Linked DNA regions of Anolis sagrei. The protein of the gene in region 2 interacts with the protein of the main gene of each other region in a pairwise test. Links are inferred from orthologs where the notes say so. Each region holds a gene or a part of one and is shown on either strand. Other genes may lie near its edges.

What was found.
Region 1: the proteins of EXOSC8 (region 2) and DUSP23 interact in binary tests that used the Homo sapiens proteins (3 or more experiments, as listed by UniProt). The two-hybrid records come from large-scale screens. The link is inferred for Anolis sagrei from reciprocal best matches to the Homo sapiens genes EXOSC8 and DUSP23.
Region 3: the proteins of EXOSC8 (region 2) and SLAIN1 interact in binary tests that used the Homo sapiens proteins (3 or more experiments, as listed by UniProt). The link is inferred for Anolis sagrei from reciprocal best matches to the Homo sapiens genes EXOSC8 and SLAIN1.

The regions. Positions count from the first base shown.
Region 1 is NC_090032.1:13,169,654-13,177,313, forward strand, and holds the start of DUSP23 (dual specificity protein phosphatase 23), read left to right. Parts: upstream 1-4,644; 5' UTR 4,645-4,788; intron 4,789-6,739; exon of another isoform or gene 6,740-6,796; intron 6,797-7,660. UniProt on the Homo sapiens protein: Protein phosphatase that mediates dephosphorylation of proteins phosphorylated on Tyr and Ser/Thr residues. In vitro, it can dephosphorylate p44-ERK1 (MAPK3) but not p54 SAPK-beta (MAPK10) in vitro. Able to enhance activation of JNK and p38 (MAPK14).
Region 2 is NC_090022.1:166,884,941-166,892,170, forward strand, and holds the start of EXOSC8 (exosome complex component RRP43), read left to right. Parts: upstream 1-4,212; 5' UTR 4,213-4,227; coding exon 4,228-4,446; intron 4,447-7,230. Other genes in the region: ALG5 (dolichyl-phosphate beta-glucosyltransferase), read right to left, coding at 3,998-4,057. UniProt on the Homo sapiens protein: Non-catalytic component of the RNA exosome complex which has 3'->5' exoribonuclease activity and participates in a multitude of cellular RNA processing and degradation events.
Region 3 is NC_090023.1:127,617,479-127,625,138, forward strand, and holds the start of SLAIN1 (SLAIN motif-containing protein 1), read right to left. Parts: upstream 3,017-7,660; 5' UTR 2,794-3,016; coding exon 2,345-2,793; intron 1-2,344. UniProt on the Homo sapiens protein: Microtubule plus-end tracking protein that might be involved in the regulation of cytoplasmic microtubule dynamics, microtubule organization and microtubule elongation.

The DNA.
Region 1 (7,660 bases), on a different chromosome or scaffold from region 2:
TCAGTGCTAATCAAGCTGGCCAGTGGCAACATTTACACTGGCCTCAAGTAGACAAGAGTTCTTTCTCCCACCCTGGACATTATTCTACTGCCCTGGAGACTAGGAAACGGAACAATGGCTTCAAACTACAAGAAAGGAAATTCCATCCGAACGTTAGGAAAAACTTCCTGACTGTGAGAGTCATTCAGCAGTGGAGTGTGGTGGAGGCTCCTTCTTTGGAGGCTTTTAAACAGAGGCTGAATGGCCATCTGTCAGGGGTGCTTTGAATGCAATATTCCTGCTTCTTGGCAGAATGGGGTTGGACTGGATGGCGCATGAGGTCTCCAGGGCATAAAAGCCTCCAAAGAAGGAGCCTCCATAGAACCCTCTAATTCTATGATTCTACAGTTGTATAAACCCCACTTAGTTTCCAACAGACCTGACAACTTCTGAGGAGGCCTGCCATAGATGTGGGTGAAACCTCAGGAGAGAATGCTCCTGAAACATGGTCAGACAGCCCAGAAAACTCACAGCAAGCCAGTGATTCTGGCCATGAAAGCCTTCAACAACAACAACAACAAAAAGGACATTTAGCATAATGCCGAGCTTTTAACTTTGTTTGTAGTTTTTCTACACATTATAGCTATTGTCTCAATTTGGTTCTTACATGCTAAATAAATAAATATTCCGTCGTCTGAATCATTGACAAAGATGTTGATATTCCATGGCCTGCATAGGTCTCTGTCACACCCAGGGGCGGCTCAACCCATTACGCAAAGTAAGCATTTGCAGTATAGATTTTGCCCAGGGGCGCTCTTGAGGCGCTCTTGGGGGGAAATAGACCTTGACATATGCAAGTTGTAGTTACTGGGATGTATAGTTCAGACAAGAATTCAGAATCCAGACAAGACAGAGGTACTCCTGGTCAGTCGTAAGGCCAAACAGGGCATAGGGTTACAGCCTGTGTTGGATGGGGTCACGTTCCCCCTGAAGACGCAGGTTTGCAGCTTGGGTGTGATCCTGGACTTGTCGCTGAGTCTGGAACCTCAGGTTTCGGCGGTGACCAGGGGAGCATTTGCACAATTAAAGCTTGTGTGCCAGCTGCGCCTGTACTTGGCCACGGTAGTACACGCTCTGGTTACATCCCGTATAGACTACTGCAATGAGCTCTCCGTGAAGTTGCCCTTGAAGACTGTTCGGAGACTTCAACTAGTCCAACGGGCAGCAGCCAGATTACTCACCGGAGTGCCATACAGGGAGCATACAACCCCCCTGCTGCGTCAGCTCCACTGGCTGCCGGTTTGCTACCGGGCTCAATTCAAAGTGCTGGCTTTGGCCTATAAAGCCCTAAACGGTTCTGGCCCAACTTTCCTGTCCGAATGCATCTCCCCTTATGAATCATCAAGGACTTTGAGATCGTCCGGGGAGGCACTGCTCTCGGCCCCGCCTTCGTCACAAGTATGATTGGCGGGGGCGAGAGACAGGGCCTTATCAGTGGTGGTCCCTCAGCTATGGAACACCCTCCCTAGAGGAATTAGATCTGCTCTCTTCCTCTTAACGTTTCGGAAGCAAGATTATTATTATTATTATTATTATTATTATTATTATTACTTTATTTGTACCCCGCTAGCATCTCGATGGGGAGATGCTGCTTACATAGGCCAAGGCCTCAAAACACCATACAACAATACAATACCTAAAGCAAATTAAAAACAGTTAAGCAGTATAAACAACAGACAATAAACAATACATCAAGACACTATAAAACTGGGCCAGGCCAGAGTAATGGGTACAAGATTAAAAGTGCTGATGTGGCAGGAGGTATGTAGGATTATAAAATAGGTGCAGTGTGCGGTGTGCAGCAATCTCAGTTCTACTAAAGTGCTTCTGGGACTTGGTATTGGAGATTCCTAATCTGGGAAGGCACATTGGAACAGCCAGGTCTTCAAGTTCTTTCTGAAGACTGCCAATATAGGGGCCTGTCTAAGATCTTTTGGGACGGCATTCCAGAGTCGGGGGGCCACCACAGAAAAGGCCCTGTCTCGAGTCCCCACCAAGCGCGCTTGCGACGCAGGCGGGATCACGAGCAGGGCCTCTCCGGATGAGCGAAGTGAACGTGCGGGTTCATAGACGGAGATGCGGTCATGCAGGTAGGGTGGTCCCAAACAGTTCAGGGCTTTGTAGGTAAGCACCTGCACCTTAAATTGGGCTCGGAAAATAAACGGCAGCCAGTGGAGCTCCTTGAACAGGAGGGTTGACCTCTTTCTGTAATGAGCCCCGGTTAACATCCTGGCTGCTGCCCGTTGGACCAGTTGGAATTTCCGAGCCATTTTCAAGGGCAGCCCCACGTAGAGCGCATTGCAGTAGTCCAATCTAGAGGTGACCAAGGCATGGACCACCCCGGCCAGATCAGCCTTCGCGAGGTATGGTCGCAGCTGGCGCACGAGTCTCAATTGTGCAAATGCCCTCCCGGACACCGCCGACGCCTGAGCCTCAAGCGTAAGTGATGAATCCAAGAGGACTCCCAAGCTGTGGACCTGTGGCTTCAGGGGGAGTGTAACCCCGTCCAACACAGGTTGCCACCCTATACCCCGATCTGGTTTTCACCCTCTTTCAATGTAAAAATTGCACTATAAAAATTAAATAAAAAACAAAACAAACATGGCTATTTGAGCAAGCGTTCACAAATACAGAGTAACAGATATAGATAACTAATATAGGAAATCTGACGATTTGACGATGGAACTGGACAATGCTTGACAATATGTTGTTTTTATTGCTTGTTGTGTTTTATGTTGTTTTAATGTTTAATTTGTATACTGTTTTGTTGGAAACCGCCTTGAGTCGCCGATAGTCTGATTAAGGCGGTATACAAATACAGCAAATAAATAAATAAATAAATAATGCAATCAAAGAGCATTCTGAACTCCACCAATGATGGAACTGAACCAAATATGGCACACAGAACTCCCACGACGAATCATAGAATCATAGAGTAGGAAGAGACCTCATGGGCCATCCAGTCCAACCCCATTCTGCCAAGAAGGAATATTGCATTCAAATCACCCCTGACAGATGGCCATCCAGCCTCTGCTTAAAAGCTTCCAAAGAAGGAGCCTCCCCCACACTCCGGGGCAGAGAGTTCCACTGCTGAACGGCTCTCACAGTCAGGAAGTTTATTATTCATTTATTTATTATTTAAACTTATATGCCGCCACTCCCCTGGGGCTCGGAGCGGCTTACAAGAATAGCTAAAATCTAACAAAGTTTTAAAGCAATTTAAAACAATTTAAAAACAACAGTATCAAACATTATAAGCCTGTTGAAACAGGTATGTCTTCCATGCCCTGCGGAAAGCTGGTAAGTCCCGCAGGGCACGAACTTCAGGTGGCAGAGCATTCCAGACTGATGGCGCCACTGCTGTGAAGGCTCTGCGTCTGGTTGCCGCTAGACGCAAGGTCTTGACACTGGGGACTTCCAATAGATCTTGGTCCTCAGAACAGAATGGAATCTCCTCTCTTGTAGTTTGAAGCCATTGTTCCCTTGCGTCCTAGTCTCCAGGAAAGCAGAAAACAAGCTTGCTCCCTCCTCCCTGATGCATTGTCTTGCTGAAGACGGACACCTTTAATGAGAATGCCACATTGTCTCTTGGTTTGGATGGCCTCCCACAATGTCTGCCTAGTATGCCCCAGTAGTCATGGTCCCCTTTGCTAAGGAATCCATCAATCCTGCTCCATGCTGGTCCCAGAATACTGTGAATACTTGCCTGCTGAGAGTTGAGCATATGCCTTCTTTGGAGGTCATGAATCATAGAATCATAGAATCAAAGAGTTGGAAGAGACCTCATGGGCCATCCAGTCCAACCCCATTCTGCCAAGAAGCAGGAATATCGCATTCAAATCACCCGAAGCTTCCGAAGAAGGAGCCTCCACCACACTCTGGGGCAGAGAGTTCCACTGCTGAACGGCTCTCACAGTCAGGAAGTTCTTCCTAATGTTCAGATGGAATCTCCTCTCTTGTAGTTTGAAGCAATTGTTCCGCATCCTAGTCTCCAAGGAAGCAGAAAACAAGCTTGCTCCCTCCTCCCTGTGGCTTCCTCTCACATATTTATACATGGCTATCATATCTCCTCTCAGCCTTCTCTTCTAAACATGCCCAGCTCCTTACGCCGCTCCTCATAGGGCTTGTTCTCCAGATCCTTGATCATTTTAGTTGCCCTTCTCTGGACACATTCCAGTTTGTCAACATCTCTCTTGAATTGTGGTGCCCAGAATTGGACACAATATTCCAGGTGTGCTCTAACCAAGGCGGAGTAGAGCATGGGGAGCATGACTTCCCTGGAGTCATGGAGCACTATGCTCCTCTTGATGCAGGCCAAAATCCCATTGGCTTTTTTTGCTGCCACATCACATTGTTGGCTCATTTTAACTTGTTGTCCACGAACAGAAAATATATATCAGTGATTGGTTGGGGGGGGGGGGGGGGGGTGCCAAAATAAAAATTACCAAGGGCTGCCTCTGGTCACACCTAAGTCAGTGATCTCTTTGATCTGGAACTGAAATGTGCCTGTCCTGACCCTCTGTGGAAGTGGTTTTGAACCTTGCCGCAAAGACAATAGGAGTGGTCCCATTGCATCCCCATTCGCTGTGGCGACTGCCCATCAGGCCAGAGGAAGGAGGAGCTCCACTCTTGAATAAAGTTGCAACAGGGAGACCAGATGTGCTTCCGCCTGGAGAAAGCGCTCGGATGCTTGCAGTGCCTGAGAAAGAAGCACAGCTCTTCTTTGGAGGCCTTTCTCTCTCCTCTCAGGTATGCCTGGGGCCAGGTGAAGGCAAGCAGGGAATTGCTGGGAATCGCATGGCATAGCCTGATCCCAGATTGTGTTATGAGCGGGTGGCAAATGCTTCTCTGTAGGTTTGCGTCTCTGGAAAGGAAGGTCATTCGAGGACAGCCTCAGTGAGGGTTTATTTTTGGGCATGGAGCGGCAAGAGGAAGAGGAGTCGGACTTCAAGAAGGGAAAAAAGGACGACCCAAACAACTACCGTCCGGTCAGCCTCACGTCGATACCGGGCAAGATTCTGGAAAAGATTGTTAAGGAAGTGGTCTGCAAACACTTAGAAACAAATGCAGTCATCGCTAATAGTCAACATGGATTTATCAAAAACAAGTCATGCCAGACTAATCTGATCTCTTTCTTCGATAGAGCTACAAGCTGGGTAGATGCGGGGAATGCCGTGGATGTAGCGTACCTGGATTTCAGTAAGGCCTTCGACAAGGTCCCCCATGACCTTCTGGCAAGGAAACTAGTCCAATGTGGGCTAGGCAAAACTACGGTGAGGTGGATCTGTAATTGGTTAAGTGGACGAACACAGAGAGTGCTCACTAATGCTTCCTCTTCATCTTGGAAAGAAGTGACGAGCGGAGTGCCGCAGGGTTCCGTCCTGGGCCCGGTCCTGTTCAACATCTTTATTAATGACTTAGATGAAGGGCTAGAAGGCAGGATCATCAAGTTTGCAGACGACACCAAATTGGGAGGGATAGCCAATAGTCCAGAGGACAGGAGCAGAATTCAAAACGATCTTGACAGATTAGAGAGATGGGCCAAAACTAACAAAATGAAGTTCAACAGTGACAAATGCAAGATACTCCACTTTGGCAGAAAAAATGAAATGCAAAGATACAGAATGGGGGACGCCTGGCTCGAGAGCAGTACGTGTGAAAAAGATCTTGGAGTCCTCGTGGACAACAAGTTAAACATGAGCCAACAATGTGATGTGGCGGCAAAAAAAGCCAATGGGATTTTGGCCTGCATCAATAGGAGCATAGTGTCTAGATCTAAGGAAGTAATGCTACCCCTCTATTCTGCTTTGGTTAGACCACATCTGGAATACTGTGTCCAATTCTGGGCACCACAATTCAAGAGAGATGTTGACAAGCTGGAAAGTGTCCAGAGGAGGGCGACTAAAATGATCAAGGGTCTGGAGAACAAGCCCTATGAGGAGCGGCTTAGGGAACTGGGCATGTTTAGCCTGAAGAAGAGAAGGCTGAGAGGAGATATGATAGCCATGTATAAATATGTGAGAGGAAGCCACAGGGAGGAGGGAGCAAGCTTGTTTTCTGCTTCCTTGGAGACTAGGACACGGAACAATGGCTTCAAACTACAAGAGAGGAGATTCCATCTGAACATTAGGAAGAACTTCCTGACTGTGAGAGCCGTTCAGCAGTGGAACTCTCTGCCCCGGAGTGTGGTGGAGGCTCCTTCTTTGGAAGCTTTTAAGCAGAGGCTGGATGGCCATTTGTCAGGGGTGATTTGAATGCAATATTCCTGCTTCTTGGCAGGGGGTTGGACTGGATGGCCCATGAGGTCTCTTCCAACTCTATGATTCTATGATTCTATGATTCTATGATTAAGGCTAGAGAGGGGCTTCTTTTCCTTCCTTTCAATCAGCCAAATGGAATAGCTCCTTAAAAGCTTTTCTCATTGGTTTAAATCTATGTATATAATAAAAGTCAGTGTTTGTATGCGGAGGGAGGACAGTGTATGTGGCAGCTGTCTGATTGGCTGCCAATTTCACAGGCCATGGGTGATGGACCTGGATCAAACTTGGCACACATAACCCCCATGATCCCCTTTACGTCCTGGTGAGGTTTGGGGGAGAATGGACACAGGTTGATGGGATTTGTAGTACTTCAAACCCATCAGTTCACACAGACCACTGTGGCCCCCAACAAAGACTAATAAAGAGGAAGCTTTCTTTCTAGGCTGAGGCTGGATCTACATTGCCATATAATCCAGATTATCAAAGAAGATAATCAGGTCAGCGGTTCGAATCCGGGGAGAGCTGGTTGAGCTCCCTCTGTCAGCTCCAGCTCCTCATGTGGGGACATGAGAGAAACCTCCCACAAGGATGGCAAACATCAAAACATCCAGGTGTCCCCTGGGCAACGTCCTTGCAGATGGGCAATTCTCTCACACCAGAAGTGACTTGCAGTTTCTCAAGTCTCTCCTGACACAAAAAATATCTACACTATCTACTTTGAACTGGATTATATTAGGCTATACTGCTATATAATCCAGATGATCAAAGGTTGACTCAGGGTCAACCTAAGTCTGAAATGACTTGAAAGCACACAACAACAACAACAACGATCTCATCTCACCAGCCAAAAGCAGGCCCACACTTCCCACTGAAATATCAATAAGTTTATATTTGTTAAAATTGTTCTTCATTTTAATTATTGTATTGATTTGAAGTGTTTTTGCACTACAAATAAGATATGTGTAGTGTGTAATTTTTTTTTCAAATTATAATCCAGCCCTCCAACAGTTTGAGGGACTGTGACCTGTTAAAAAAGTTTGAGAACCTCCAGAGGTTCTCAAACCCTTGTGCCAGCAGAACTGATGACTGACAGGTGGTTTGAATCTGGGGAGAGCAGGTTGAGCTCCCTCTGTCAGCTCCAGCTCCCTAAGCAGGGACATGAGAGAAGCTTCCCACAAGGATGGTAAAACATCCGGGCAACGTCCCCTGGGGAACGTCCTTGCAGATGGCCAATTCTCTGACACCAGAAGTGACTTGCAGTGTCTCAAGTCGCTCCTGACATGAATAAAATCCACATTATCTGCTTTGAACAGGATTATATGAGTCTACGGAGCCCCCGGTGGCGCAGTGGGTTAAAGCTG
Region 2 (7,230 bases):
GCCTAATGCAGTTGAAAAGTCTGAAAGTTTAAATGTTGCTTTAATCGTGACTTTAGTTTATATCCTGTTTGCTTCTCTTGACTTTTCTTTTGTATTCAAGGAAAGGATTGTTTCTTACAATGCTCCAGCAGTAGTCTGACAGCATTGACGGAGTCCATTTGCCTTGATATCTTTTCCCCATAGTGCTTTATTTACACACGTGTGAGGCATAACTACAGTAAAAAGAACAATGTAAAACGATGTTTAACGATACTGTCTCAGTCTTCAACTGACTGACCCTCACCGTTCAAAAGTCTGGCCTTAAATAGGGCTTTCTGGCTTTTGTACATGGCACTAATACTGCGTCATCAAACTTTCTAGAGTATTTTAGAATCTTCCATAGTGTAAGTCGCAACATGCATTTTTTCAAACATACATGATCACGTGATTGCTTATATCATAAAAACTAGAGCCAATATACATTTTTAAATGTCATTTTCGTTTTCAGGACCCCAAAATCATAAAAGAACAGCTATTTTCAGGCCCGCAACTTTCTAGAATCTTCCATAGTGTAAGTCGCAACATGCATTTTTTCAAACATACATGATCACGTGATTGCTTATATCATAAAAACTAGAGCCAATATACATTTTTAAATGTCATTTTTGTTTTCAGGACCCCAAAATCATAAAAGAACAGCTATTTTCAGGCCCGCAACTTTCTAGAATCGTCCATAGTGTAAGTCGCAACATGCATTTTTTTCAACCATACGTGATCACGTGATTGCTTATATCATAAAAACTAGAGCCAATATACATTTTTAAATGTCATTTTCGTTTTCAGCACCCCAAAATCATAAAAGAACAACTATTTTCAGGCCCGCAACTTTTTCTCCGTTGAACAGTGTTATTAAGTACAGTGGGCACTTTGGTTTCCAGACTCCCCTGTGGATACAAAAATCTGTAGATGCTCAAGTCCCAAGGGCCTAATACAATGGTACCCCTTATAAAAATGGCAAAATCAAGTATACCTGGCATTACCTGGGTGTTGTTAGGACTGCTCCCCACATACTGTCTCCCTTCTCCAGCTCTGAGAAGGCCTACCTCACAATGTCTCCATTTTTTTTTGTCATGTCAGAAGCGACTTAAGAAACTGCAAGTCACTTCTGGTGTGAGAGAATTGGCCATCTGAAAGGACGTTGCCCAGGGGACGCCCAGATGATTTTATGTTTTTATCATCCTTGTGGGAGGCTTCTCTCATGTCCCCGCATGAGGAGCTGAAGCTGATAGAGGGAGCTCATCTGCCTCTCCCCGGATTTGAACCTGCGACCTATCCTGCCAGCACAGTGGTTTAACCCACTGCACCACTGGGGGCTCCTACAATGTCTCCATGACAACATGGTTCTCTTATGCATGTCAACCAACAAGATCACAGAGGGCCACTTCCCCTAGCAACAGCCCCAACCAGTGGCATCACAGAGGGCCACTTTATCTAGCAACAGCCTTAATGGTAGAAACAGATAAACATGCATACTTTGCCTTTTCCATGCATGCAGAATCCATAGATATAGAGGAGTGAAAGCATACAGCAAAAAATGAAGAGGGGGGAGCATCCAACTTCTATGGAAGATTTGTTTCCCAGGATGTACCCCTCTCCAGGGGTAAGCATCATTTCTCTTCTAGGGACATTACATCTTCAACTGTAAATGCCCGAAGATACACCAGGGTGTTCAGAAACCTTTTACTGCTGCCAAATTTCTCATGACCCCAACACTGAGCAAAGGAAATTCCATTCGGGATCAGGGCCCACAGTTTAAGAAATAGTGATTTATACTGACTAGTTCAAAACCAACATAGGGGAAGTGGTATGGATGGTTTGATGGCAAGCCGTCGAACCAGGTTGAGGCCTGGATAGTGCTTATATGCAACACACAGGATGGCCTCCATCTGGTTTCAGAGCCTGCATCTTAAGAGATGCAGAGAATGTGGGTTATTTCCCTCCCAACTCCCTCTTCCACTTGAGCGGGTTGCTGGAGTGTTCCCTTGGTTCATTGCTTTTGCCATGCAGTGTGGGTTTTTTTTGTTGTCGTGTCAGGAACGACCGGAGTCGCTTCTGGTGTGAGAGAATTGGCCATCTGCAAGAACGTTGCCCAGGGGACGCCTGGATGATTTGATGTTTTATCATCCTTGTGGGAGGCTTCTCTCATGTCCCCGCATGAGGAGCTGGAGCTGATAGACGGAGCTCATCCGCCTCTCCCCGGATTCGAACCTGCAACCTGTCGGTCTTCAGTCCTGCCAGCACAGGGCTTTAATCCACTACGCCACCAGGGGCTCCAATGCAGTGTGGTTTAGCTGAAAGAGTGCCAATGGGCATTAAGGATTCTATTCTGGAGGAAGATGCCCCAACTTTGGTCATTTTACTTTAATCTTGATTATCATGGTGGGTATCATATAAGCAAGGGGACTAAGGTCTGTGGGCCAGATAAGGCCCTCCAAGGTAATTCACCCATTCCCTGCCCTAAACTTAAGACTGAGATCCGCCTTCAGTCTGAAGCGACTCGAAGGCACATGACAATCCTAATTAACTTGACTCTCTAATCAGCCAAAAGCAAATCCACACTTTCCGTTGAAATACTGGTAAGTTTGTGATGGTTAGAATTGTTTTTCGTTGTAAATATTGTCTTGTTCTTTCATGGATTTTTTTTTTGCACTACAAATAAGACACCTGCAGTGTGCACTGGAATTTGTCCATGTTTTTTCAGACTATAGTCTGAGAGACCGTAAATTGGCCCTCAGCACATAGAAGATGGCTTTGAAAGGCAGCAGATCACAGGAGCTGTCTTCATAGACTTGTCAGCAGCCTATGATACTGTGAACCACCACCTCCTCCTGAGAAAAATGCATAATATCACAAAGGACTACCACCTCACCCGCCTCATAGGAAACCTGCTACAAAACAGGAGCTTCTTTGTGGAGTTCCAGGGCCAGAGAAGCAGATGGCGGAAACTGAAGAACGGCCTGCCTCAGGGGAGCGTGCTTGCTCCATCCATGTTCAACATCTACACAAATGACCAGCCACTGTCAGAAGGGACAGAGAGTTTCATCTATGCTGATGATCGTGCCATTACCGCTCAAGCAGGGAGCTTTGAGATGGTAGAACAGAAGCTCTCCGAAGCTCTAGGTGCTCTTACTGCCTATTACAGGGAAAACCAACTGATCCCTAATCCATCTAAAACACAGACATGCGCCTTTCACCTTAAGAACAGACAAGCATCCCGAGCTCTGAGGATTACCTGGGAAGGAATCCCACTGGAGCATTGCAACACACCCAAATACCTGGGAGTCACTTTGGACCGTGCTCTGACCTACAAGAAGCACTGCCTGAACATCAAACAAAACGTGGGCGCTAGAAACAACATAATACGAAAGCAGACTGGCACAACCTGGGGATCACAACCAGACACAGTGAAGACATCTGCCCTTGCGCTATGCTACTCTGCTGCTGAGTATGCATGCCCAGTGTGGAACACATCTCACCACACTAAAACAGTAGATGTGGCTCTTAATTAGACATGCTGCATTATCACAGGGTGTCTGTGCCCCACACCACTGGAGAAATTACACTGCTTAGCCGGTATTGCACCACCTGACATCCGCCGGGAAGTAGCAGCCAATAGTGAAAGGACCAAGGCAGAGACATCTCCAGCTCATCCCCTGTTTGGGTATCAGCCAGCACGTCAACGACTTAAATCAAGACATAGTTTTCTTAGATCTACAGAGACACTCGCTGGAACACCCCAGCAAGCGAGAGTCCAAAAGTGGCAGGCCCAAACCCAGCACCTCATTTCAAAGACGACCAAGGAATAGGTTGTTCTTTCAAATGGCCTTTCCAAACCATCAGCTGTAATTATGAACCTTATTTAAAGGATAGCGTGGGGTTGTTCGCTCAGAGCCCCTAGAGACGGAGAAGGGTGCCCGAAAAGCCCACCCAGAGCCCCGCAGCAGCCTGCCACGCTCACCAGGACCAGCCCGACCCCCGCCAGCGCCGCCAGTCCTTCCACCAGCCACAGCAGCTCCATCGCTCCCCGCAAACGGCAAGAACGCCCAGCTTGCAGGAAAAGACACGGAGGCGGAAGCGGGCAGAGCCACAAGGCGGGGCAAAGGGCCGCTACAGCCTTAGCTTCCGGAGACAGGGAGCGCCGCAATTGGCGGGCCCAAGTCGTCCTCTTCTGGAGTTTTGAGGGCGGTCATGCCATGGCCTTTGAGGGCGGAAGCACGCGTTTGGGCTTCTGGGTTGGTGGAACGTGACGGAGATTTCGATCGTTACCCGTCCTTCCGCCAAAAGGAGCACTTCCGGCGCCGCGCTCGCTTCCTTCCGCTCAGACCCACCCAGGTCGGGAGCCTAGAGCGTCCTCATTGGCCCTTTGAGGAGCGCGTGAGGGAGAATGGCGGCGGCCGGTGGGTTCAGGTGAGGAGCGGCGCCCAGAGCCGTGTTGAGGACGAATGAGGCCCTGCGTTAGGGAAGTTCTGAGTCCCCTGACTTGAACTCGGGGGGAGGCCCGGTCAACGTACACTGCCTGCTTTGTGGCACACGCTCAGAGACTCCCGAAGGGTTCCTTGTTTATTGTTCAAATTGTTTCGCTGCTACAGTGTAAAAGTTCAGGGCAGAACCAATGGAAATAGACGAACCAGTCAACGAATGCTCTGCCATTAAGGTTTGATTACACTGTTGTTGTTCATTCGTGCAGTCGTCTCCGACTCTTCGTGACCTCATGGACCAGCCCACGCCAGAGCTCTCTGTCGGCCGTCACCACCCCCAGCTCCTTCAAATTCAGTCCAGTCACTTCAAGGATGCCATCCATCCATCTTGCCCTTGGTCGGCCCCTCTTCCTTTTGCCTTCCACTTTCCCCAACATAATTGTCTTCTCTACGCTTTGCTGTCTCCTCATGATGTGGCCAAAGTACTTCAACTTTGTCCCTAGTATCCTTCCTTCCAGTGAGCAGCCGGGCTTTATTTCCTGGAGGATGGACTGGTTGGATCTTCTCGCAGTCCAAGCCACTCTCAGAACTTTCCTCCAGCACCACAGTTCAAAAGCATCGATCTTCCTTCGCTCAGCCTTCCCTAAGGTCCAGCTCTCACATCCGTAGGTGACTACAGGGAATACCATGGCTTTGACTAGGCGGATCTTTGTTGCCAGTGTGATGTCTCTACTCTTTACTATTTTATCGAGACTGGACATTGCTCTCCTCCCAAGAAGTAAGCGTCTTCTGATTTTCTGGCCACAGTCTGCATCTGCAGTAATCTTTGCACCTAGAAATACAAAGTCTGTCACGGCCTCCACATTTTCTCCCTCTATTTTCCAGTTGTCAATCATTCTTGTTGCCATAATCTTGGGGTTTTTTTATGTTTAGCTGCAACCCAGCTTTTGCACTTTCTTCTTTCACCTTGATTAGAAGGCTCCTCAGGTCCTCCTCGCTTTCAGCCATCAGAGTGGTGTCATCTGCATATCTGAGGTTGTTAATATTTCTTCCAGCAATTTTCACCCCAGCTTTGCATTCATCCAGCCCTGCACATCGCATGATGTGTTCTGCATACAAGTTAAAAAGGTTGGGTGAGAGTATGCAGCCTTGCCGTACACCTTTCCCAATCTTGAACCAGTCTGTTGTTCCGTGGTCAGTTCTGACTGTTGCTACTTGGTCCTTGTACAGATTCCTCAGGAGAGAGACAAGGTGGCTTGGTATGCCCATCCCACCAAGAACTTGCCACAATTTATTATGATCCACACAGTCAAAGGCTTTAGAATAGTCAATGAAGCAGAAGTAGATGTTTTTCTGAAACTCCCTGCCTTTCTCCATTATCCAGCGGATATTGGCAATCTGGTCTCTCGTTCCTCTGCCTTTTCTAAACCCAGCTTGTACATCTGGCAACTCTCGCTCCATGTATTGCTGGAGTCTTCCTTACAGGATCTTGAGCATTACCTTACTGGCATGAGAAATAAGGGCCACTGTACGGAAGTTTGAGCAATCTTTCGCATTTCCCTTTTTTGGTATGTGGATACACTATGTAACAACATTTGAAAAAAATCTGTTCCTGGTTTGAAGGTGTTCTTTCCTGTTTAATTGTGCGCTACGTACTTTGAAAGTAGTTGTTCTACTCCAGAAACTTCGTTTTGTGGCTGCCGGAAACTATGTTGAATTGGTTGACACCTGATATTCAGTGGAAAATCTATAGCAGAATGTGCTGCAGAATGTCCTGCAAAAAGCAAGGCTTTTGCAGTTCAATAAACTTTCCCCATGTTTTAATTATAGAACGAATTAGGAAAAGCCAGGAACAAAAATTGTGTTACATAGTGCTATCAACTCTATCATTCTGTCTGGAATCTTATCGAAACGGAACACCTTCAAATTTAGAATTTCATCATGTTAGAGGCAGGCGGTGGGGAAGGGCCTCTTTCAGGCACCACTCTTGCCTCCTCGGTCTCTGTGCCGTTCCTCTCATTAAAGGCACATCTAAAAAGTTTCAGACCAGCATGGAAGAAAAGTAGTTTTACTGTGCAGACAATTTCATGGAAAATCTTGGAAATGGTTTGCGGCCCAGATGATGATCCTACAAAGCACTGATGCGCAGTTAGGGTTTCTTTTTATAGGATTTGTGGGAGTTTTTTTGTGTGGATGCCGCATTGCATTAAATGATTGGTGTAGATGGGGCCTAAGGCTGGTTCATGCTGCCTTGTTGCTGTTATTATTTATTTATTTATTCCGTGCTTTATATCCCCAAAGGGGACTCAAAGTGGCTTGATATAAAAGCCTTAGTATACAGTTTAAAATATACAAATCTATACATTTTAAAACAGAATTAAATACAAACAGCACTAAAACATTCACAGTTAAAATCCATTAAAACACATTCAAAGTTGAAAACCACAGCATCCCCTTACTAGATCTTAAACACCTTTATCTTTAAAAGTCTGTCATGGGACAGGGCCATTCTGGTTTCCTGGGAAGAAAGGGAATTCCAGAGTCAAGGGGCAGCCACTAAAAAGAAAGGCCCTCTCTCTCATTCCCACCAACCGAGCTTGAAATGGAGGTGTTACTGAGAGAAGGACCTCTCTTGAAAATCTCAGGACCTGGGCAGGTTTATACAAGTGGATGCGGTCAGCCTAAAATAGCCTGGACCTGGACCATCTAGGGCTTTAAAGTCATAACCTTTAAATTGTCATAAACTGGACCTGGAAACAGACTGGTAGCCAGT
Region 3 (7,660 bases), on a different chromosome or scaffold from region 2:
GAGTTTTCCGGGCAGTATGGCCATGTTCAGGGAGCATTCTCTCCTGACATTTTGCCCATATATACGGCAGGCATCCTCAGATGTTGTGAGGTCTGTTGGAAACTAGGCAAGTGGGGTTTATATATCTGTGGAATGTCCAGAGTGGGAGAGAAAACTCTTGTCTGCTTGAGGCAAGTGTGGATGCTGCAATTGGCCACCTTGATTAGCATTGAATGGCCTTGCAGCTTCAAAGAGACAAGAGTTCTTTCTCCCACCCTGGACACTATTCCACAGTTATATCAGCCCCACTTCCCTAGTTTCCAACATGCCCCACAACCTCTGAGGATGCCTGCCATAGATGTGAGCAAAACATCAGGAGAGAATGCTTCTGGAACATAGCTATACAGCCTGGAAAACTCACAGCAACTTGTGATTCCAGCCATGAAAGCCTTTGTCAACACAAAAACAATATGAATTAGTATTATTTTTTTAAAAGAGGCATACTAGGAACACTTAAAAAAAAGAAGAAGAAGAAGCCTTAGATAAATATCAAACATGGCTTCCTCATCTCAAAAAAACAACCAAATGAAATCAGCACTCTTCTTTATTAGGATGCGTTGATTTTTTTTTTACAGGCAGCTCCCAATTTATAACTATATCACAGTCAGAAACAAGGTGTGTTGTGTCAATTTTAAGAATAGGTCTCATTGGCAGAAGACAGGAGGAATGACTGGCAAGAGCGGGGGAGGCAAAAACAAAGCATAATGGAGAACCAAACCACTTCCTCTGGGCTGTACTTCAATCACGACAGCTGCTTTTTTAAAGGGACAAGAGGGTTGGAGAGATGGCAATTGTCAGTCAATATGCCATGGTGCAGATAGGCAGCTGGGTATTGCGACCAGGCCTGGGCAAATTTGCCCTTCCTCCGGGTGCTTTGGACTTCCACAACAGCCTGAGGCCCCTTCCTTTCCCCCCTCAGCCGCTTAAGTAGAAAAGGAGAAGAAAAGGAAAGGGTCTGTGGCTGTTAGGAAGGGTGGGAGTTGAAGTCCAAAACACCTGGAGGGCCGAGGTTTGCCCACGCTTGGCCCAGAATCTCCCCTTTCCCTTCTCTCCTGCCCAATGCATCCCTCCGAGGGGAGCTATTAGCCTTAAAAAGGGCCCGGATTCAATCGCTTTTCCTGAGGCAAATCAAGACTCCGCCCGCATTGAGAGGAACGACAGGCTGAAGGCTGAAGGGGGAGAAAACGCGGGAACACTTCGGAAAGCGGAGGAGAGAGGAGGAGGAGGAGGGTAGCGAGGAAGGCAGGGAGAGCGAGAGAGGCATGCAATCCAAGCGGGGCCCCCTTTTGTTGAGTGTCTGAGGCCTGGGTCCCCTTTGTGCTCCTTGGCTCTGGAAAAGAAAGGCGCCCCCAGGAAGGCCCTTGGCTTCCCACGCAGCGGAAGAAGGCACGGCCTCGCTGCGGCGCCATCCATCACCCCCGCCACCGCCAAGGCCGCCTCCTCCTCCTCCTCCTCCTCCTCCTCCTCCTCCAGAGCGCAACAAGCAGCCCAAGGGTCGCTGGCCACAGTCCTGAAATCCCGCCACGAGGAGGAAGGGAAGGAAGGAAGGGAGCGCACTGCGAGAGAGAGAGAGAGGGGGGGGGGAGGGGGGAAGGAAGGAAAAGGAAGAGAGGGAAAGGAGAGAAGGGAGAGAAGGAAAGGAAGGGAGGGAGGGAAGCGAAGAAAGGGAGGGAGGAAGGGAAGTGAAGAAAGGAAAGGAAGACAGGGAGGAAGGAAGAATACGGAAGGAAGGGAAAGGAAGGAAAGGGGGAGGGAAGGGAAGGAAAGGGAAGGAAGGATACGGAAGGGAGGGAAAGGAAGGAAGGGAGGGAAATGGAGGGAGGGAGGAAGAGAAGCGGAGGAAGGGAAGGAAGTGAGGGAGGGAAGGAAGGAAAGGGGGGAAGGAAAGGGAAGGGAGGGAAGGAAGAAAAGGAAAGCAGGAAGGGAAAGGAAGGGAGGAAGGAAGTGAGGAAGAGGGAGGAAGGGAGGCGAAGAGAGGAAAGGAGGGAAGGGAGGAAGGAAGGGAACGAAAGGAAGGGAAGGAAGGGAAGCGAAGAAAGGAAAGGGAGGAAGAGAACAGAAGGAAGAGAGGGAGGGAAGCCTCTGCTTCCACAGCCCACCCCCTCAGAATCTGCACTATCCCCCCGCCCCCACCACCACCCCTGAAGGGCGCCTCCCAGACCACAGGGCTTGGCTGTGCGGGGCTGGCCTCTCCCCCCCCCCCCCAGACCTCGAGGGCTCCAAAGGGCAGCGAAGGGGTCTCCTGCCAATCAGGGAGGGAGGGAGGGAGGGGTGCCTCCACCCGGGTCCCTTCCTCCTCACTCACCAGGTCTCGGCGTCCCTCTCCTGGCGCTCCGCCCGCAGGTCCAGCACCTCCACCTCGTCCAGGAAGGTGGCGGCGGGGAGGGGGCCCTCCGGGGACGCCCTTCCTCCCCCTCCCCCTCCTCCTTCTCCGGGCGAGGGCTTGAAGTAGACGAAGGGCTCCCCGCTGGGGCTGGGGCTGAGTGCCGGGGGCGAAGCGGCGTTGGCGCTGGCGGGGAGCGGGTGCTGCTGCTGCTGCTGCTGCTGGGCCTGGAGGGAGGAGAGGAGCAGCTGCTGGAGCGGGGATCCGGCGGCGGGGCCCGGGGGCGAGGCGGAGGCGCGGCTGCGGAGCTGCTCGTTCTGCTTCTCCAGCTTGCGCACCAGCTCCTGCAGCTTCTTCACCTCCAGCTCGGCGCTCACCGCCCCGCCGGGCTTCACCTCGGCCGCCAGGGGCTGCAGCAGCGCGGCCTCCATCCCTCCCTGCCTCCTTCCCTCCGCTGCAGGAGGAACAGGCCTCCCCGCAAAAGGCCGCTCTCCGTCTTCCCGGCCGCGGATGGATTGGCAAAGGCAGGCAGGCAGGCAAGCAAAACAGGCAGGCAGGCAGGCACACAATGGGAACAAAGCCGGGCGGGGAGGCGCCGAGGGGCCGCGCGCGCAGGAGGAGACGGGAGGGGAGCGAGCGAGTGCGCGAGCGAGGGGCGGGGCCTGCCTGCCTATCTGCCCGCGCGGGGCAGGGAAGGGGCGTGGCCAGGGAGAGAACGCCACGCCCCCTCCCCCCTCCCTCCCTTGGAAGGACTTTCCCCCAGACTTTGAAAAGATCAGGAGAGATGCCAGGAAGGAAGGAAGGAAGGAAGGAGGGAGGGAGGGAGGGAAGGAAGGAAGGAAGGAAGGAAGGAAGGAAGGAAGGAAGGAAGGAAGGAAGGAAGGAAGGAAGGAAGGAAGGAAGGAAGGAAGGAAGGAAGGAAGGAAGGAAGGGATGCTGAGGAGGACTCATTGTGATGTCACGCGAGCAGGGGAAAGGATGGAGGAGGTGGCCATGGCTAGGAGGATGCGGAGCCTTTCCTGCAGGCCTGGAGTCGGGAGAAGGGGGAGGTATAAGGATTTCACCACCACCCCCCAAAAATATTTCAGGTTAAAAAAACTTATTTACTCATGAATTTTAACTGGTTAACAAATTCATGAGTAAAGCGGGGGTTTTTTTAACCTGAAACTTTTGGGAAAATGGCATTCATAACCTTTTTGGAAGGGAAAAATGATGTCATATCCTTTTGTCAAATGTGAATCTCCATGAACACCTCGAGACCACCTTTCGAAAACCACTAGTCAAGGAAAGGCTTGCCCTTGTTTAGAACTCAACCCTTTGAATAAGTGATGTTCACAAGTATTCATGTAATGGCACACAGGTAACTTGGCTGTTAAACTGATAAACCAAGCCTTTGAACTTCCAGGGACAAAGACATGCCACTGCACAAAAAAACATATACTTAGCCAGCAGAGTTTTGAAAATGTTTCATAACCTTTTTGGAAAGGATGTCATATCCTTTTGGCAAATGTGAATCTCCATGAACATCTGGCGACCACCATTTGGAAACCACTAGTCAAGGAAAGGCATGACCTTGTTTAGAATTCAACCCTTTGAATAAGTGATGTTCACAAGCATGTAATGGCACACAGGTAACTTGGCTGTTAATCTGGTGAACCATGTCTTTGAACTGCCAGACATGCCACTCCACAAAAAACCAATACTTAGCTAGCAGCGTTTGAAAATGTTTATTTGAATTTGAATTTGAAATTGCAGTTGCCCAAAACATATACTCCTCTTTGAAACCTCTTAGTTTAAAATATGTGCTCAGAGACAAAAAAAAAATCTTCTTTAAAAGACAACATACTTTGTTTACTCACAAACAGGAATTCAATCCATTCTACATGTATTGATTGGGGGACTAGGATATCAAGGAAAGACTGGGGGGAATTGGATCACCACTCTCACCCCAATACCCTTCTTCCTTCTGTTTTCCTAATATCTCCCTTCCTCAACTGGGAACTACATCATAGAGTTGGAAGAGACCTCTTGGGCCATCCGGTCCAACCCCTGCCAAGAAGAAAGAAAATTGCATTCAAAGCACCCCTTTCATGATATTGTGTTGGATGCTGTTTAAGGTTGGCTTTGGGACTTCAGGGCTGGTTGCTCAATGGTTAGCTCTCTGGTGATACAGTTGAGTACACATGCTGTTTACTGCCAAGTCGTGGACAACTGAAATGGACCTTCATTAAGCTTGACTCAAGCTGTGGCCACCAAAAATGCTCAGTCTCTTTTAGTTATAGACAAAGAGTTGGGGTCTGTATGGTATTCCAGGCAGAGGATGGACACTCATTCCCTACATGCACATTTCATTGCCCGAGCATGGGTAAATGCGTATTCTCAACACACACACACACAACTCAGCACATTCACATTCCTCAGCCAGTGGGTGCTTGTGGGTTGAGCAGGGAGCACCAGCCCACTCAGTCAATCCAGCAGTTATCTGAGCATTGCATAACCCAGACATGGGCCAGCTTCGGTCCTCCAGGTGTTTTGGACTTCAACTCCCACAATTCCTAACAGCCAGTAGGCTATTAGGAATTGTGGGGAAGTCCAAAACACCTGGAGGGCCCAAGTTTGCCCATACCTGCCATAACCTCACCTTAGCATCTTGCTCATCCATCACTATCAACAGCAGAAATCACATTTTCTTCCTCTCCTTGACTAAAGGAAGGGAAATGTGGAGGTGGTCCCACCAGTTTAGAAGCATCAGAGGAAAATAGAGCCACAGGTTGTCCATTCTTGTTTTGGGGACTAAAAGCCATTCCCAGTTTTGTTGTTCCCTTTGGCGCAGTGAGCAGTATCCAAGTGAACTCCTTAGCAGTACAGTTCAATGATGGTGTTTGAAACCCAAGTGAGAAAAGGCCCTTCCCGATGGGAAGATAAAGCAATGCTTGATTTAAATGAGACAGTGTATCCACTTACTCAGTGATAAGCCTCATAGAGATGAATGGAATTTCTGATCAGATCGGTACATACATTGGTAAAGTTTCACTACAAGTCGATTGCACTCTGTTGTTCTGTGCCTTCAAGTCGACCCCAACCTATGGTGACCTTATCATAGGGCTTCCTTGGCAAGAACTGTCAGAGGAGGTTTGGTGTTGCCTTTGTCTGAAAATATAGCCTGCGGCAAAAGGTATTCCTTGGTGACCCCACATCCAAGTATTAAGCGGGTCTGACCTTGCTTAGTTTCCAAGATCAGAGAAGATGCGGTGCCTTCGGGGTATGTCAGCACTCACTGTAATCCACAAGGCTTCAGATATTCATAGCTAACTTCTCTCTTTGTTTTCCATGGTCTTAATTTATTTGGAAAACTCATAGTTAAAACAGGTTTTTGCGGTATATTTCTAGTCTTGTGATAGTGATTTAATAGCAAGTTATACCTGTAAAAATAATTTTTCCACCAAATAATCCATCAGAAATGGAATGCTGGGAGTTTACTTTCTCACATTTTTAGGCTGGGCTACATCAGCCTTTCCAAGACTTAGACAAAATCTTATGTTAGTCCCACTCTGTTATGCCAGCTCCACTGGCTGCCAATCCAATTCTGAATACAATTCAAAGTGCTGGTTTTGACCTACAAAACCCTATACGGTTCCGGCCCAGTGTATTTGTCTGAACGGATCTCCCTCTACATCCCATCTCGAAATTTAAGATCGTCTGGGGAGGCCCTGCTCTCGACCCTGCCACTATCACAAGTGAGGTTGGCGGGGACGAGGAGCAGGGCCTTCTCAGTGGTGGCCCCTCACCTGTGGAACTCACTCCCCGGGGAGATTAGAACAGCGACTTCCCTTTTGGCGTTCAGAAAAAAATTGAAGACCTGGATATGGGACCAAGCTTTTGGATATTCTGGCAGCTAAGGAAAGATCGGACGATAAACAAGGGCGAACGGAATAGAATGGATAAACGGACTCTGAACACTGAGCATGAGATTGTTTTGCTATTTTACTATGTATTAATGTTTTTAACTTGTTAATCGTTTAAAATGCTTTTATGTATTGTTTGTTTATTGATTTAGGCATCGACTTGTGCCTTCGTTTGTAAGCCGCCCTGAGTCTGGAAACCAATTATTCTAAATGACTAAGAAATCATTTTTGGACTATTAGTTTTATTTGCTATGTTTATAGATGCTTATTGATTTATTGTATACTAGGCGTCCCCTGCCACGTGTTGCTGTGGCCCAGTCTGTGTATATGTGTTTTGTGTGTGTATATTTAAAAATTAAATAAATCATTCCTGCTGGCTGGAAAGGATGGGAATTGTAGTCCCAGCACCTCTGAAGGTTTGAGGAAGGCTGGATTAGACGGTATTCAGAGCCTTCAAAGCTTAAATATCTCCATTTGGTGCTACACAAAGAAGTAGGCGGCACCTCTGCTACTGCGCTACAGAATGCCATCCTGGAAAGAACACAATAAACCATATAATTAGAGCCCCAAAACTGCTAGTTTGGGGATTGTGATTATGCAAATTTAACACTGCAAAAAATGCAAAGCGTCAATATAGGCTGATTTTTTAAATAATTGGTAATCTGAATGAAAGCTGCACATGTGCTTTCAATGCCCAATCATTTTGGAGAAAGGGTTCCTCTTAATTGGTATATATTAGGTGTAACAATTCCACCATGAAAGCAAGGAAACACTGGGACCATCACAGACTCTCGGGCTCTAAAGCTTCATTCCCATGATGAGCAAAAGTCAAAACACGGGAAATAAATAAATAAATAAATAAAATTAGAATGAGGATGATGATCATGTTTATTTATAAAATGCTTTTTATTTAAAAACACGGACAATCCATTAAATATGATTTCTATAGAGATCATCTGCAAGGATGTATATTTCCAAAAAGCAAATGCTGTCCTGCTGCTCAAAGGATATTTGCTCAGCATTGTCCTACAGAGTCTGCTTCTTCCAGACTCAGAGGAATATCCTAAGATCCTATTGCAATTTACTTCCTTCATATTTTGCTCATAACCTCACTTGTTTATATCTCCCCTTGAATGCCAGCTTTTATGCAGCAGAATTGCTGAATGTTGGTAAGGAGCCATCTTGTTTTTCTTTCTCTAGATGAATGTCAGTGGTTGCTCACAACTGGATGACTGTGAATAAGGTACTTAGAGCAGTGTGGCTTACTATGTGTTTGCTCCATCATTGCTCTTTTTCTCTTAAATTTCCAGGAGGATATGGCTATCTGGATTCAAGAAGGGATTCATGTATCTTTCATAGAAGGGATGGCTTCCAAATGTCTTGTAGGAGGCAC